2 linked regions of the Pelodiscus sinensis genome follow. The protein of the gene in region 2 interacts with the protein of the main gene of each other region in a pairwise test. Links are inferred from orthologs where the notes say so. Each region holds a gene or a part of one and is shown on either strand. Other genes may lie near its edges.

Evidence for each region.
Region 1: the proteins of GABARAPL1 (region 2) and OPRK1 interact in binary tests that used the Homo sapiens proteins (3 or more experiments, as listed by UniProt). The link is inferred for Pelodiscus sinensis from reciprocal best matches to the Homo sapiens genes GABARAPL1 and OPRK1.

Annotation. Positions count from the first base shown.
Region 1 is NC_134712.1:66,150,410-66,158,125, reverse strand, and holds the start of OPRK1 (kappa-type opioid receptor), read right to left. Parts: upstream 3,018-7,716; 5' UTR 2,606-3,017; intron 2,111-2,605; 5' UTR 2,071-2,110; coding exon 1,814-2,070; intron 1-1,813. UniProt on the Homo sapiens protein: G-protein coupled opioid receptor that functions as a receptor for endogenous alpha-neoendorphins and dynorphins, but has low affinity for beta-endorphins.
Region 2 is NC_134711.1:135,297,347-135,305,204, reverse strand, and holds the start of GABARAPL1 (gamma-aminobutyric acid receptor-associated protein-like 1), read right to left. Parts: upstream 3,002-7,858; 5' UTR 2,740-3,001; coding exon 2,650-2,739; intron 1-2,649. UniProt on the Homo sapiens protein: Ubiquitin-like modifier that increases cell-surface expression of kappa-type opioid receptor through facilitating anterograde intracellular trafficking of the receptor. Involved in formation of autophagosomal vacuoles.

The DNA.
Region 1 (7,716 bases), on a different chromosome or scaffold from region 2:
AGGAATGTTTTTGCAATACATTTTTCACTAGATTATGAAAAAAAAAATCAGATAGGGACACTCAGTGCAACACCAATTGAACATTTTTAAATTAGATTTTATATATGCTGGAACATTAGCAACCATTTGCCACAGAGAAATAAGGGGAGGGGAAGGACAAATAACATTGTGAAAAAATCTCAAGCTTTTCAATGTAAAAGTGTAGGTGGGGAGACACGAAGAGGAATGATCAATAAGATTGGGTTGAAGAAAAGAAAGAAATGTATAAGTAGCAGGGGATACCAAAAACCCTCAGAAGGGAAGAAGTGAAAGACAGATAGGAAACACGCACATTCAAGTATAATACATGTTAGCTTGCATTCAGGGTTGAGGCTCTGAGTTTATTTTGACTGCCCATCGAGTTAATTGCCACTATTAAACTGACAGCTTAAAGAAACTCTCCCCTTATGACTGGAGTGTCAGAAAAAGACTCAGTCCTCCTAGTACATAAGGGATTTCAGTTCTTACTGTATGTGAAGGACAGAGAAGATAGCAGGTAGGAAAATAAAATTTGCAACTTGGAGCAAAATAATTATTTCACATTGACAGACAAGCATATTATTTACTTTGATGAATTTAAAGGGATATTTTTTCATTTTCAAGAAGCTTTACCAGACTGTAAGTGATCTTCTCAAAGTAAATTGTAAACAACAACTACATTGACGATAACCGGAAGACACTGAGTCAATCATGACATTTTTCCACTCTTATTTTGGAATTGCTTGGCATACACAAAGTCAGTTTTGATCACCAGAACCTCTTGAACTTATATCAGCTTAATTTTCATACAGAGACTTATTTTACTGTAGCATTAAAACACTCCAGAAAGCGAATTTCACAGTGTTTATTGCAGTAATCAAGTACATTATGAATCAGGAGGACAAAGGGTTGAATGATTTCACTCACCAGAAAGTGAGGTATAAACCTTCTGAGCTGCACTACATGGCGTACTTTGATACAGTAATTGCAAATAGGAATTATAAAAATAGAGAAAAAAAGTCACAGCCCCATCATTTCCTAAGGATTAAAGATAAACATCAACACACAAGTGTAAACATGGATGCATTTAAGTAAACTGTTTAGCATGAACACCAATTAGTGCAAATAAAAATCTCCTTTTTCCTGTTACTTGGAATATTAAAAGCAATCCTATCAATGCTTACTTTGATTTCATCATACCTAAAAGCAACAATGCCATTTAAACCTGAAAACTATCTTAATAGCCTAATTTAAAGAAAAACTACTCCCATCTTTATATTCCGATTTTCCAATTTTTAGAAAGTGTTTATATTATAAGAGATACTATGATAATATAATAAAGCAAATCATAAACCGTTCCTTTCTTTTTTGGTGCATATCCTAGGGGAAGGATGCCTAATAGAAGTTTCCTAATTGTAGTGCATCATTTTCTGTAATATTAACTGCTTTTCAACTCTAGAGGGGGCTCTAGCCACACACTTCCAGTACACCACCAGCACCTCCTCTCCTCCAACTCAAAGGCTAGAGGATTTATTAACTTTCTAATCCATTTCTCCTTTGGGTTTCAAGTTGTACTCCTAGGCAAAAAAACCAAAAATGTGCATAGCTCCCAAACGGAGTGAAAGCACTTCGTCTCAGCTGGGTCACTTCCTTATGGTTCCTCAAGTTTGTACATTATATCTCCTAAAGAGCTTTCTCCCCACCCCTTCCCTTACATCCCTCCTAATGAGGTGTCACTTGAAGCCTCTTTAGTTTGGTACACAAAAGCTAAACACTTCTCCCCAAGATCCCTTACCTTATGATGACAAACATCACAAGAGAGTTGCCCACCAAGCCAACCACAAAGACCACAGAGTAAACAGCAGTGATGATAATAGGGATAGCTGGGGAAATGTTGGTGTGGTTCTGCTGCAAGTCTTCAAAGCCACCACTGGCATTGTTGCCATACTCGGCCCAGCCCAGGAGCCAGCTGCTGCTGCTGGGGAGGAGGCAGGGGCCTGGAGAGCAGGTGGAGCCTGGCTCTTCACGGAAAATGTGCACAGGGGGCTCCATGGGGTTCACTGGGACCACACACAGGGAGGCCAGAAATATGCTAGAAAAAGGAGAGAGAGAGTGAATGAACCACAATGTGCAAACTTTCCATTCAAACAGACCTGTGTTTCTAAATCAGTGGGGAGGGGAGTGCTTTAATAAGCATATTTAGATAAATACCATTTAATGAAACAACATTGTAACATTGCTTAATTGTTAAACGTAACAGGTAAGTGCTGGTAAATGCTGCCCATGAGATACGTGGCTGAAGTTTTCTCCAGGTAACAGAGATTACAGGTTGGGAACAAAACAGAAGAGATACGATAACAGTTTAGAAACAGCTCAATTCCACACCTCTGGTTTCCCCCTCTCGCCACATTTTTAAAGTCAAACAGTACCCTAATCTCTAGGTTCTCTTTCTGCCTTGACTACAATGAAGAGGGGAGGGGAGTGGAATCCACCCCTTTCACCACAATTGCGTGCCATTCTTCCCTCAGCGTTTACCACATTCAGATGTGACACCTTTCAATAAGAGAAACAAAATTTCAAAAATTACCTCTTTCAGTCCTGAAAAAGGATCAGTCTTCACACAAATGCTTTTAAGAGTAGTGTAGAAGCATCCTTTTGGCTCTTGGAGGTGTCACTGATCTCTTATGGCTTTTGAACCTGGAACATCTATGCCTCTGGAGAGCTGAAAACGTGCTAGAGATGAAGCTGAATCCCAGTCATTAGCTCCGAGGTGGCGGCAGCTGCTGCTGCTACAACTCCCAGCACTTCCCCCTTTTACACTCACACTATCTCTGTCTCACTCTCACTCTGCAAGGTCTCCAGCAGCATGCTGCACTAACTCACACATTCTCCTCCACCTCAGGCTCCGCAGCTCAAAAGCTCACATGACTTTTGTCTAAACACCGACAGGCAGACAAATTGAAAGGAAAGACAGACAGTAAGTTCTACTCTACCTGACTGCATCATTTCCATTCCCATACACTTTTCCAAGTTGTATTTCTCCCTTTCCTCCTCCTCCTGCGTCCCCCCACCCTGCAATTTAAAAGTCTTCAGGCAATGACACTTGCTCTCTTATTGAATATTCCAAATTTTGCAAACTAGAAGACATTGGACAGAACAGAAATGTCAGGCAACCCCCTTTTGGCTCCCCTCTTCCCCCTTTCCCCTTGAAACACAGGTCTGTTTGAATGGAAGGCATGCACATTGCATTTTGTAATATATTTTGAGAGAACAGAATGTAGATGCATGAAACTTGATCCAAACATGTGTGGGAGAAAAATCAAATAACTCCAATTGTGTCTAAAGGGGGGAACTGTGCAGAAATCATAACTTTCTAAAAGAAAACTGCTGTAAGGGTTAAAAAGTTTTCCAGGCCTTTCTCCCTGTAACAGAGAGAAATCAAATTAGCTCTAATCAAAGACCCTTACAAATGACTATCTCAAATTCATGGATACTCCTAGTCTGTCACAATTTGTCATGTAAACCCTTATCTTTGTCACAGTTTGCCTTGTAGACTCCTCCACTCAAGTTCTCATGTGGCTTTGTGTACTGTAAAAACTTACTTCTAGCACTCCTGGGGTGAACAGAAGTCTCAGAGTACTTCTGCTGAGACTTTGATATGTTAAAGAAGAACAATCCACAACTGAACTGTCTAAGCATTCTGTATATAGGATACCTGAATCTGTCTGTCAGGGCTGCTGCTTCACTCTTGGAAGTGACAGCCTGCATGCATGCATCATAAAGTTTTCTCTTCTAAGTTTCTTTCCTGCCTCACTGATTTGACCTCCGGCCTCGAACCCTTCTGGGGGCTCTGTACCCCAGGGGAGCGAGATTTCCCCCTCAATTTGGTGTCAGAAGTGGGATGGCTTGGAACTCCAGTTGGAAAGGCTGATGATGGGGAATGGGAACGGACTACAGCGCGCATCTGGAGGGTAAGGGATCCATTTAAAATCCCCCGGTCCGCCTCCCTGTTCTCGTCACCAGCTGGACCGGCTGGCGGTAAGAGTCATCTTTTACTTAAAATTTTTTTTTGTTAAGAGGCTTGAGGGAAACTTAAAACGAAAACACTGGGTATAGCCAAATAGGGGTTGGATTTTGTTGTTGTTGTTGTTGTTGTTGTTGCTGACTGATTGGTGGCGAGTCCAAGCACATGGTTTTGAGTGAGTGAAGTCCGGAGGGGGACCGCAGCCGCACCAGTGCTGTCAGTGTCACTGCACAGCTGCTGAAAGCAAGGGCGGTTTCCCCCGGCACATAAGGAGTGTGAGTGAAGCTGACAGTTTGTGTGGACTCCCACACTATCCTTGGAGAGGGTAGTGTTGCTGGACGCCTGTGCTATCCTTGGAGAGGGTAGTACTGTTGGGCTCCTGTGCTGTCCTTGGACAAGACAGTGCTAACATGGATAAGATTGCTCCCTCAAGTCTGTCTCCTACTGAGAGAAAAGGTTTCTCACAGCCTGGGACTCCCTTGTCTCAGATGATCAGTCAGCTAGGTATTGCCTGCAGGTTTGAAACTAAGGAGACTTAAGGAATTATTGAGCATTTGGGATGGCTATACTCAGGGGAATTCCCAGAATACATGGCAACTAGAGCTTTGACTTACAAAAGCTTGCTTATCTTAGAGTTTTCCTCGAGGAAAAACATCCTAACCAGATGGAATATTGGTGCCTCTGGGAGGATGTGACAGTAAAAAAAAAAATAATCAGAGCACTATGGCTAGCAAAAAAGATTCTATTGAAAAGCTGCAGCAAGAATTGGCTTCTCTAAACAGCTTGATTCCCCAGATGTGCCATCTGCACCCCCACCCCGCTTTGGACCCTTGTCAGCTGAACATTCTTTCCTGTTATCTCCCTGTTCTCTTGTAAACCTTATGGGACATGACTTGTTGTGTAAATTGGGTGCAAACCTTCTCTGTAGAGAGGAAGGGATATTTGTTGACCTTCCCCCCCATCAGACCCCAAAATTGATGGCATTACTACTCTCAGAGGAATCTGATGAGACCTCAGGATATACACCCCTCCTGGACCTCTCAGATGTCCCAGAGACATTGTGGGCAGCCCATGTGAATGAAGTGGGGTTGCTAGCCTCTGCAACACCAGTGCAAACAACATACAGACACAACAAGCCTTTCCCAAGGGTAGCCCTGTATCTATTGGCTAGGGAGGCACAAGAGGGCATTAAGCCTGTAATCTCTCCCTCCTTAAACAAGGGATACTTGTTTATACAACTTCACCATGTAATACACCTATACTACCTGTGAAAAAGCAAATCTATAGATTTATAGAAGACCTAAGAGCCATTAATAAATTTGTAATCCCTAGATTTCCAGTAGTACCTAACCTGGTTTTCTGTAATAGATTTATGTTCTGCCTTCTTTTCTATTCCAGTGCATAAGAATTCCCAATTTCTCTTTGCCTTTTCCTTTCAGGGTCATCAATTAACCTGGACATGTTTTTGTAAAGTTATTGTAAAAGCCCTACTCTGTTTTCTCAGTTTTTTAAAAAAAAGCTGACCTTAATTCTCTCTCTCTTCCCTACAGTTCTGTGTTAGTTCAGTATGTTGATGATGTGTTAATTGCTAGTAAAACTGAGGAAAGATGTAAAACTGATACCTCCTATGTGTTAAAGTGTCTTGCTAATAAGGGTCACAAGGCTTCCAAAGCCAAATTGCAATTTGTAAAACAAAGAGTTCAGTACTTGGAACATTTACTTTTAGGAGATGGCCGCCAGTTAACACCTGAGCGAATCTCAAGTTTTTTTTTCATTCCTCACCCTTTCACCAAAGTCAGGTATACAAATTTCTGGGTACTGCAGGATATTGCAGACAATGGATTCCTAACTTTTCTGGACTCACCAGGCCCCTTACTATTCTACTCTTAATCTTAGCTCCTGACCCAGTGACCTGGTCCCCAGAATGTGAATCTGCTTTCCTTTCCCTTAAAACTCTTCTGCACAGTGGGCTTACCTAAATATAGCAAGCCTTTTACTCTGTTTTGTCATGAACAGGATGGAATTGCAGCTGGAGTTCTCTGTCAACCCCTTGGACCCACACCTCGTCCAGTAGCTTATTTTTCTGCAACACTGGACTCAGTAGCCCGTGGGTTCCCACTTTGTCTGAGGGCAGTTGCAGCTACTGCTGAATTACTTGAAAAAGGCCCAACCTGTCACATTAGGCCACAGCATTATCTTACAGGTCCCTCATGCTGTCTCTGCTCTCTTACAGCGACACCGCACTCAGCACCTATCTGTTCAGAGACAAACCCTGTATGAGAATGTTATCCTCTCTTCCCCAAATGTGGTAATTCAAAGATGTAATGTACTTAACCCAGCTACTTTTTCTCCTTTACCCTCTACTGGTAAAGCACATACCCATAACTGTGAAGAATTGCTTGAGCACTGTGTAAAGCCTCCCCAAGATTTGTCTGCTCAACTGCTGGAAAATGCAGTTCTTGTATTGTATACTGATAGCTCATGTAAAAGAAATGCAGTTGGTAAACTAAAGGCTGGATATGCAGTGGTCTCAGATAATAATGTTTTAAAGGTTCTTTTCTCTTCCAGGAATCAAAATCAGCTCAGGCTGCTGAGCTCATCGCTTTAATTCGTGCTTGCCTTTTAGCGTCCGGACAGTCTGCTGCCATTTATACTAACTCAAAGTATGCTTTCTCTGTCTGTCATGTCACAGGACAAATTTGGAAACAGCGAGGTTTCCTTACCTCTTCTGGCTCTGCTATCTCGCATGGTCCCCTTATCTCCCAACTCCTTGATGCTATTCAGCTACCCACATCCCTCTCTATTACCCATTGCCCGGCCCACACAGGTGCCACTGATCCTGTTTCTCTGGGTAATGGGAGTGCTGATGCAGCAGCCAGACATGCAGCAGAACATGGACCTCTGGCTCCCTTTCAGATTCTGGTCTCTCTTTCCCTCCCTGTTTCTTTGCAGGCCCTGATAGAACTACAGCAAGCTACTCAACCTGCAGAGAAAAACCTTTGGGAGAGAGCAGGCTGCTCCTTATCCCCAGCTGGGATAATGGGTGCACCTGATGGCTGCCCAGTCGCCCCAAAAATCTCTCACACGGCAGCTTGCTCAGGTGTCTCATCAAATGACACACATGAGCAAAAGGGGGGTGGCCTCACAAATCCCAAAACAATGGTACGCCCCAGGCATGCACCTAGAAGCTGTCTCAAGAATATCTAATTCATGTGTGATTTGTAAGCAGTTTAATGTTGCAGGAGGCCCACAGGCTAGCAGCCACACAGAAAGAAAAAAACCTAGACATAAAATGACGGTTAGAAGAGCTTGCATCTGCAGGTAAAGGAAGCCCTCCCAGTACCTACTGATGTACCGTGCCACAACATCCAACCAGGCGACTACGTGTTCGTGAAGGAACATCGCAGAAAGAATTCCCTGACAGCCCGGTGGAAAGGACCGTTCCAATTGCTGTTCATCACCCACACAGCAGTAAAGGTGAAGGAGGGCCCCTCGTGGATCCACGCAAGTCATGTACGCCGAACTGCAGATCCAACAGAGCTGATTGACCCCGTCACCCAGGACCCCTCCCTGGAGGAATCACCTGAGGACGAGGTTCAGCGGACCGAGGTGGCACTCTCAAACCAGACTGTTACCAAACCGGCCTCCACCAGGAGCTTCGAGGTACAACCTGA
Region 2 (7,858 bases):
AGCAGTCCATTACCTTAACCACTTGGGGCACGTCATGGTATTGCTGGATGTAACTGTGTAGTGTATGCCTGGGTTGGGGGCAAATTGGGGAAAAGACTAGAAGAGGGAAGGAAAAGTACAGCCCCACAGTCATTCTGTCCTCCAATTTCCCAAGATACTGACAAGAAGTACTTAGTGAAAGCAGCAATGAAGCCACCTTTTTATATAAAAGATTGAATTCCAGTAAGATTTTTCCCATGATAGGGAAGAAAGGCGAGGTCACAATAAGTATGGGCCTGGGGAGGAAGAAGGGATGGTACTGGGATTACCACCCCCTAGAAAGCACTGGCATCCAACAGAAACTACCACTTCTAAAGAGATAGAAATGGTATGGGGATGTTTGGTTGACTGGCTTGAATAGATACTCGGTTTGTCTGAATAATTAAGTTGTCCAGGTGTCCATTCTTAAGAACCTGAAACCTTCTCAAAATAGCCATACTCCATCCAAACTGTCACTAGAACTTTATGTCCATCCCCCACCCTGGATTCTGATCCCAAAGGCCTGACAATCTGTTTGCAGAAAGAGAGAGAGAGAGGCATTTAGTAAAGGAAAAACCAAAGGGCAAATGCAGATTAACTCCTGATTGTCATGGGTGGTGTTTGCTGTAGTGTGGGAGGGTGCCAACACTCTCATCTCAATTACAATGCTTAGATCTGCTGGGTGCACTGCAAAGTAAGTCACAGAAATAACTGAAAAAAGCTTGCCAGATAATTCCTATTATCTCCTATACAGCTCGGCTGTGTCTACACTGGACCACTTATTCCGGAAAATCAGCTGCTTTTCCGGAATAAGCTGCCAGCTGTCTACACTGGCCCCTTGAATTTTGGGAAAAGCACTGACGATCTACTGTAAGAAGTCTGCTGCTTTTCCGGAAAAACTATGCTGCTCCCGCTCGGGCAAAAGTCCTTTTTCCAGAAAACTGTTCCGGAAAAGGGCCAGTGTAGACAGCCTAGTAGTCTTTTCCACAAAAAAGCCCCGATCGCGAAAATGGCAATCGGGGCTTTTTTCCGGAAAACCGCGTCTACATTGGCCACGGACACTTTTCCGCAAAAAGGGCTTTTCCGGAAAAGCATCCTGCCAGTGTAGATGCTCTTTTTCCGGAAATACTTATAACGGAAAACTGTTCCATTTTAAGCATTTCCGGAAAATCATGCCAGTGTAGACGTAGCCCTCTTCTAATGGTTCTGAGGAAGGTATTTTCCACTGTGGCTGAATGGACTTCCTCCTGCTGTTCCCGTCTGGGCCTCTGTACACAGAGTTTCTTCTTCACCTTAACCTGCAGCATATCACGCTGTTTTAGTTTCCCCTCCCCACCTCCCACCCCCGCCCAGATCTGCCAATGCATCTCAATCCTGACCTGCCTCACTCTTTGCTATTCCTGTTCTGGCCTCCGCATAGCCCTTGCAATGCATATCCATCATTACCCACAGAACAACCTGCTACTCTAATTCGCAGACTGCAGCACAAATCCTGACCTCACTTCTGACCTGCGGCACCCTTTATTATCCCAGGCCTAAGGCGCTGAATCTCATTTCTGACTAGCAACAATCCCCACCTACCACTCTGGTCCTGTGCTCAACATGCCTAGGCACTACCTCAATTCTAACCTGCAAAAATGCTTGCAAGTTCAATCATGGGGCCTCTCTAGTAAAGAAGAAAATGGTGCTGAATTGCGGCAAAAATGTGTGGCAAGGTTTTTCGTTCCCCTTGTGTCCATAGGGGATTACAGACTATTTTGGAAGGAAGCCCCTGAATCTAGGACAGACATCTCCAATGGGGATGAAAAGAAAGAACATTTGGAATATACCGAATAAAAGAAACCACAGAAATCAATTTAGTTCGCCATTTCCCTTTTCTAATTACTATAATAAAGGTAGAAGTTTTCCAAAAACACTCTAAAGGGACCTCAGAATGAGGAAGCACAGCTAGGCTGAGAGAACGTGACCTTGTTTTCTACGTGATTTTTTTTTCCCACAAAGAGATTAAATGAGATGTCAAAAGACTGAGTGATTGCTATAAATCTTCTCATACATGCAAGGACAAGGATAGAGCACAGTTGTATTGAAAAGACAAAACAAAACTACTAAAAGGAAAGGAAGATCTCTGGTGGCATCATAGAGGCCCTCCAGTTTTCCCCATGAAGGTTATATGATTAATTCACATACTATTTTCCACCATTTTTGCAAAGAAAATGGTTAACTTTCCTCACTTCCCCACAACATGCACAGAGACTGTCATAAGAAAGATGAACAGCATTTTTCCCTGCTAAATTGCTGCAGATTATGGGGGTGGAGAGAGCAGCAAGATAGACCCCACCACTCATTTACATATTAAAATAGCATCATTCTTTGTATATAAACATAGCTCAAACAGATATAGTTCTATAAACACAGATCAGGAAACAGCAGATTAAAAGCTGATCAGGACATATAGTAATAACAACCCCCAAATCCTTTAAAAATCCCTCACCCTTAAAATATAAGCCACAGAATATTTGATAAAACCAAGGCTACACAAATTGTTTGCAAAATATAATCAGCTGCAAATCAAGAACAGAAGGTGGCAGCAATCAATACACTATACTAAGAAAAATAATATATTCCACTCACAGGGACCCTGTCTGGATATTTCTTTCTGATTTTCTCCCCTTCTTTTTTTCTGTATTCAAAAGGATGATCTTCTTTGTACTGGAACTTCATGCTGGGTTTTTTTGGTGTCTCAAGTTTTTCCTTTTGAGATTGTTGATTTAAAGTGTCTTCTAAAGCCTTTGATATCAAAGATATAGGCTTCAAGCAAATTCTGGGGTAAGCTGAGAGTTTTCGGTGCTGCTTTGAATTCTTCTGTCAATTTCCCAGGTTACAGAAATACAGCTGATCATGGAACACAAACAACGATGTAGCAAATTCAGCATTGTGATGTCACAGGGAGAAGCTTCCATCATTCTAGGCTGCACCATTTCACCTGTAGAATAGGGAGAGACTGTACATTAATTAAATCGCATTTGCACACGGTTGTTAATGAAATACACGAAGATATATGTGCAAACACGGAATTATCATGCGATACTGCATCACTGAAAATACGGCCCTGCTTACTCTTTCAAATATATTTTAAAATTAGTCTCCCCCCTCCACTCTGTGTCCTATGGGTTGAGCCACACACTCCTGATACAAACGGGCTTCAGGGCTAAACCACTCCATGTGAAAGGGGAGGATCATGTGCTGCAAAGCAAAATAATAATAAACTCAAATATAAATTCTCTTTCTTTACTGTCTATCCGATACCTGCTAGCATTTCGGATCCATTACAGGCACGTATGGGAAGAACTAGGGACGGGGGGAGGAGGAGGGGCAAATCATCAAATGGGAAATATTTGGCTGAAAAAAATCTCGGCTTCTGTTCTGCGCTACGCAGGTTTTTATTCCTTTCCTAAAGTGGGTCACGTTTCTAGGCCCGTGTCTCTGTTTTGGGGGTCTGATCTTCTGTGGCTTGTTTTCCAGCACGCCTGCGTGTGTGACTAAAGCAGAAGCAAGGGCTGAGCAAGAGCATAAACTCGCCGTGACTCAGCGGGTTTTAACTGATGGTGGCAGAGCGGTGGACACTGGCCGGGGAGTAATCTGCTGGCAAAGAAGCGGATGTGTCCTTTGTTCCGAACAGGGTATGACTAGCGCAGCTCGTGTGCGCATAACCACCTGTAATGCTTGAACTTCAGACTGTCGGGCGGCTTCCTCCCCTCCCCAGGGCCGCCAAGAGGTGAGCTGGCTGCGGCTGCTGGGGAAGACAGAGCTCGTGACTTGAGTGAGTCACACACCTGCAACCCCACCATAACTGCCTCTGTCAACAGAGCAAAGGGAAGGCAGCCGGCGCTGAGCAGCTCCAGCTGGCTGTGGGAAGGGGATGGGGGAGGGGAAACTGATTGGTTAGAGCTGGGAGGCTAGGCAAAGGGGCTGCACCACTCTCCTGTGCCCCGTGTGTCCCTCGACCCCCCCCCCCCCCCCCGTCAGGAAATTCCTAGACCCGAGCATTTGGCATTGGAAGCAAAATACGCGCCTGAAAGCGAAAATCCTTGGCGCAGGGGAAGGATCCAAACCGAAAACAGGGGCGAAGGCTTTGTTCCGAATAAAAGTGCCATATTCAGGTTGCTATCATTCATGGAATCCATAAGCCATTCGCGTCTGGCCAGTCAGCAGTCACTTATGAAAACAATTCTGAATCCAGAAGGTCTCCCATAGTTTCTAACAAATTAGTAGTCTGAAAATGTGTACTAGAAAGAGTGGGCCCTATCCTAGAGGTCTGAGCTCTGCCTAAGAGACTCGGATATAGTCCCAGTTCTGTCACTAACCTGTTATGTGACCTTAAACAAATAATTTCCTGTGTTTCCCTGTCTGTAAAACGGGATGATGCCAATCTCCTTGGTAAAGTGTGTTGAGATCTGGTGTACAGCATTAGATAAGACTCATGGACTGTGTCTAGACTGCATCCCTTTTCCTTAAAAGGGATGCAAATTAGACGTATCGCAATTGTAAATGAAGCGGGGATTTAAAATCTCCCCTGCTTCATTAGCATAAAAATGGCTGCCGCTTTTTTCCGGCTCGGAGCTTTGCCAGGAAAAAGCGCCAGTCTAGACGCGGATCTTTCGGAAAATAAAGCCTTTTCCGAAAGATCCCTTATCCCTTATTTTAAGAGGGATAAGGGATCTTTCGGAAAAGGCTTTATTTTTCCGAAAGATCCACGTTTTGACTGGCACTTTTTGGCGGCAAAGCTCCGAGCCGGAAAAAAGCGGCAGCCATTTTTATGCTAATGAAGCGGGGGAGATTTAAATCCCCGCTTCATTAGCAATTGCGATACGTCTAATTTGCATCCCTTTTGCGAAAAAGGGATGCAATCTAGACGTAGCCATGTATTATTACTATACCTTATTCAGTATTTGTCATTCGTTCATGTTTAAAAAAGCTCAGTCATCCAGTTAAGGTGCAGAAAATGTACACACAATTCAGTTGACCAAGTGAACAACAGAAATAGCAAATAGTTGAAGTGAACAATTTGTAAATAAGCTACAATCTGGCCATTGTTCATTCAAGTTATTCAGTGGACATTTATAAACAGTAGACATTCCAGGGAAATCAGTATCAGTTCACAAGCCAGTTACTAACCAAGATAACTTCTTAATGAATGAGTCAGCCATCTCAGATCTGTAAATATATATCAGTTTTGCAAAATTATTGCACAAATGGGTCTGCACATGCACACACAGAATCTTAGGGCTGGAAGAGATCTCAGGAGTCATCAAGTGCAGCCCCCTGCCCAAAGCAGGACCAACCCCAACTAAATCATCCCAGCCAGGACTCTGTCAAGCCGGGACTTAAACACCTGGGCTATGTCTACACTGGCCCCTTCTTCGGAATAGGCATGCTAATTTAGAACTTTGGAATAGGGAAATGCGCGGGGGATTTAAATATCCCCCGTGGGATTTAAATAAACATGGCCGCCGCTTTTTTTCCAGCTTGGGGAAAAGCCGGAAAAGAGCGTCCAGACTGGTGCGATCCTCCGCAATAAAGCCCTATTCCAGAGGATCTCTTATTCCTCTTATTCAAGTAGGAATAAGAGATCCTCCGGAATAGGGCTTTATTCCGGAGGATCGCGCCAGTCTGGACGCTCTTTTCCGGCTTTTCCCCAAGCCGGAAAAAAAGCGGCGGCCATGTTTATTTAAATCCCGCGGGGGATATTTAAATCCCCCGCGCATTTCCCGATTCCAAAGTTCTAAATTAGCATGCCTATTCCGAAGAAGGGGCCAGTGTAGACACAGCCCTGTAGAGATGGAGATTCCATCACCTCCTTAGGAAACCCATTCCAGTGCTTCACCACTCTCCTAGGTAAATAGTTTTTCCTAATATCCAACCTAGACCCCACCATGCCACTGCAACTTGAGACCATTGCTCCTTGTTCTTCTATCTGTCACCACTGAGAACAGCCTCTCTCCATTCTGCTTGCTTACCCAGTGCCATCCATTAAGTTTAAGAACATAAGAATAGCCATAGTGAGTGAGACCAAAGGTCCATCTAGCCCAGTATCCTGTTTCAGACCATGACCAATGCCAGGTGCCCCAGAAGGAATGAAAAGAACAGATAATCATGTCACCACCAAGAAGCAAAATTTTTTTAAGGCCGATTTATATCAACTTATTTTAATCAGTGTAACTGATTTTAGTGTTGGCTGAAGCAGAGGCTGAGCTAAGCCACACACCAGGTAATAAAGGTCAAATAGGAACCCAGCTTTCCAGAGTTCAAATCCTGTAATCCGAGATGTCCAAGCTCTGTCTGTGCTGCAGCCCATGGTACCAGAAAGGGGACTTGGGCCATAGTGTGGGTGCAGCAGGATACTTCTGCAGTCACTAGTGACAGCAGACACTCAAACAGTTTTCTGCTGAGCTCTCTCATCTTCCAACAGCTGCTGTTCCTTTTCTAGGAACTATGAAGCAAAAGTCTGGTCCCGCAACTTTGTCCTCCATACTATGCACCAGCCTGCGCTTTTCCTGTTGCCTCTCACCATACCTTTCCTCTTTCTCAAGACCCTCGCTGTGTCTAGACTGGCCCCTTCTTTGGAAGAGGCATGCTAATTTCTAACTTTGGAATAGGGAAATCCGCGGGGGATTTAAATACTTGCAGGAATAAGAGATCCTCCGGAATAGGGCTTTATTCCGGATGATCGTGCCAGTCTGGACGCTCTTTTCCGGCTTTTCCCCAAGCCGGAAAAAAAGCGGTGGCCATGTTTATTTAAATCCCGCGCGGGATATTTAAATCTCCCGCGGATTTCCTTATTCCAAAGTTAGAAATTAGCATGCCTCTTCCGAAGAAGGGGCGAGTGTAGACATAGCCCCTCTGTTTGCTTAGCACTGTGCCTTCTTGTTGACTCTCTGCAGAAATTCAGCTGTGAGTTCATCACAGAAATGCTTCTTGTTGGTGCGACAAAGAAAGGTAGATTGATCCAGGCTCCTGTTGCAGTGGGGGCGAGCTATGGAGCTACAGAGGCAGTGGTTGAGTGGCCTGGAATAGGACACGACACGAGGTTATTGTCTCTCAGAGCTCAATACAGGAGCACAGAAAATATCCTTGCGAATCTGAAAGACATTAAAATGTTACTTTTCCAAACGGAATGTCAATATATTGTGAATGGGATGCAGAGACGTTCCTCGAACACAGTCAGGTTATTCACAGTGAAAGAAGCACTGACACAATTGAAAATTAAAAAGGCTGTTTTCCCCTGAAGAGAGCAGAAGCATTTGGATGTAGGGGGGCAGCTCCGGCCATGCTACAAAAGGGATTTGTACAATTTCAGGCTTTCCACAGTTTGGAGGCTATAATGGTTCTTGTGGCGCCTGATTGGCAAAGGGAGGTGTTATGCTGAGCTGCCCTTGGGAAGCGATCAGTGTATGCAACTGAAACATTCAAATATATAGACAGAACTATGCAGCACTTTAAAGACTAACAAGATGGTTTATTAGGTGATGAGCTTTCGTGGGCCAGACCCACTTCCTCAGATCAAATTGTGGAAGAAAATTGGCATGACCAAAGGGATACAATTTGATCCGAGGAAGTGGGTCTGGCCCACGAAAGCTCATCACCTAATAAACCATCTTGTTAGTCTTTAAAGTGCTGCATAGTCCTGTCTTAGGTTTCAGCTAGACCAGACGAACATGGCTACCTCTCTATTACTATTCAAATATATAGTGACTGAACAGCACATCTATCAGTGGAGTGGCCTGGTAAGCTACTGGGATGGCCCTGAAAAAAACCCTGCACCAAAACGTGACTAGCTATC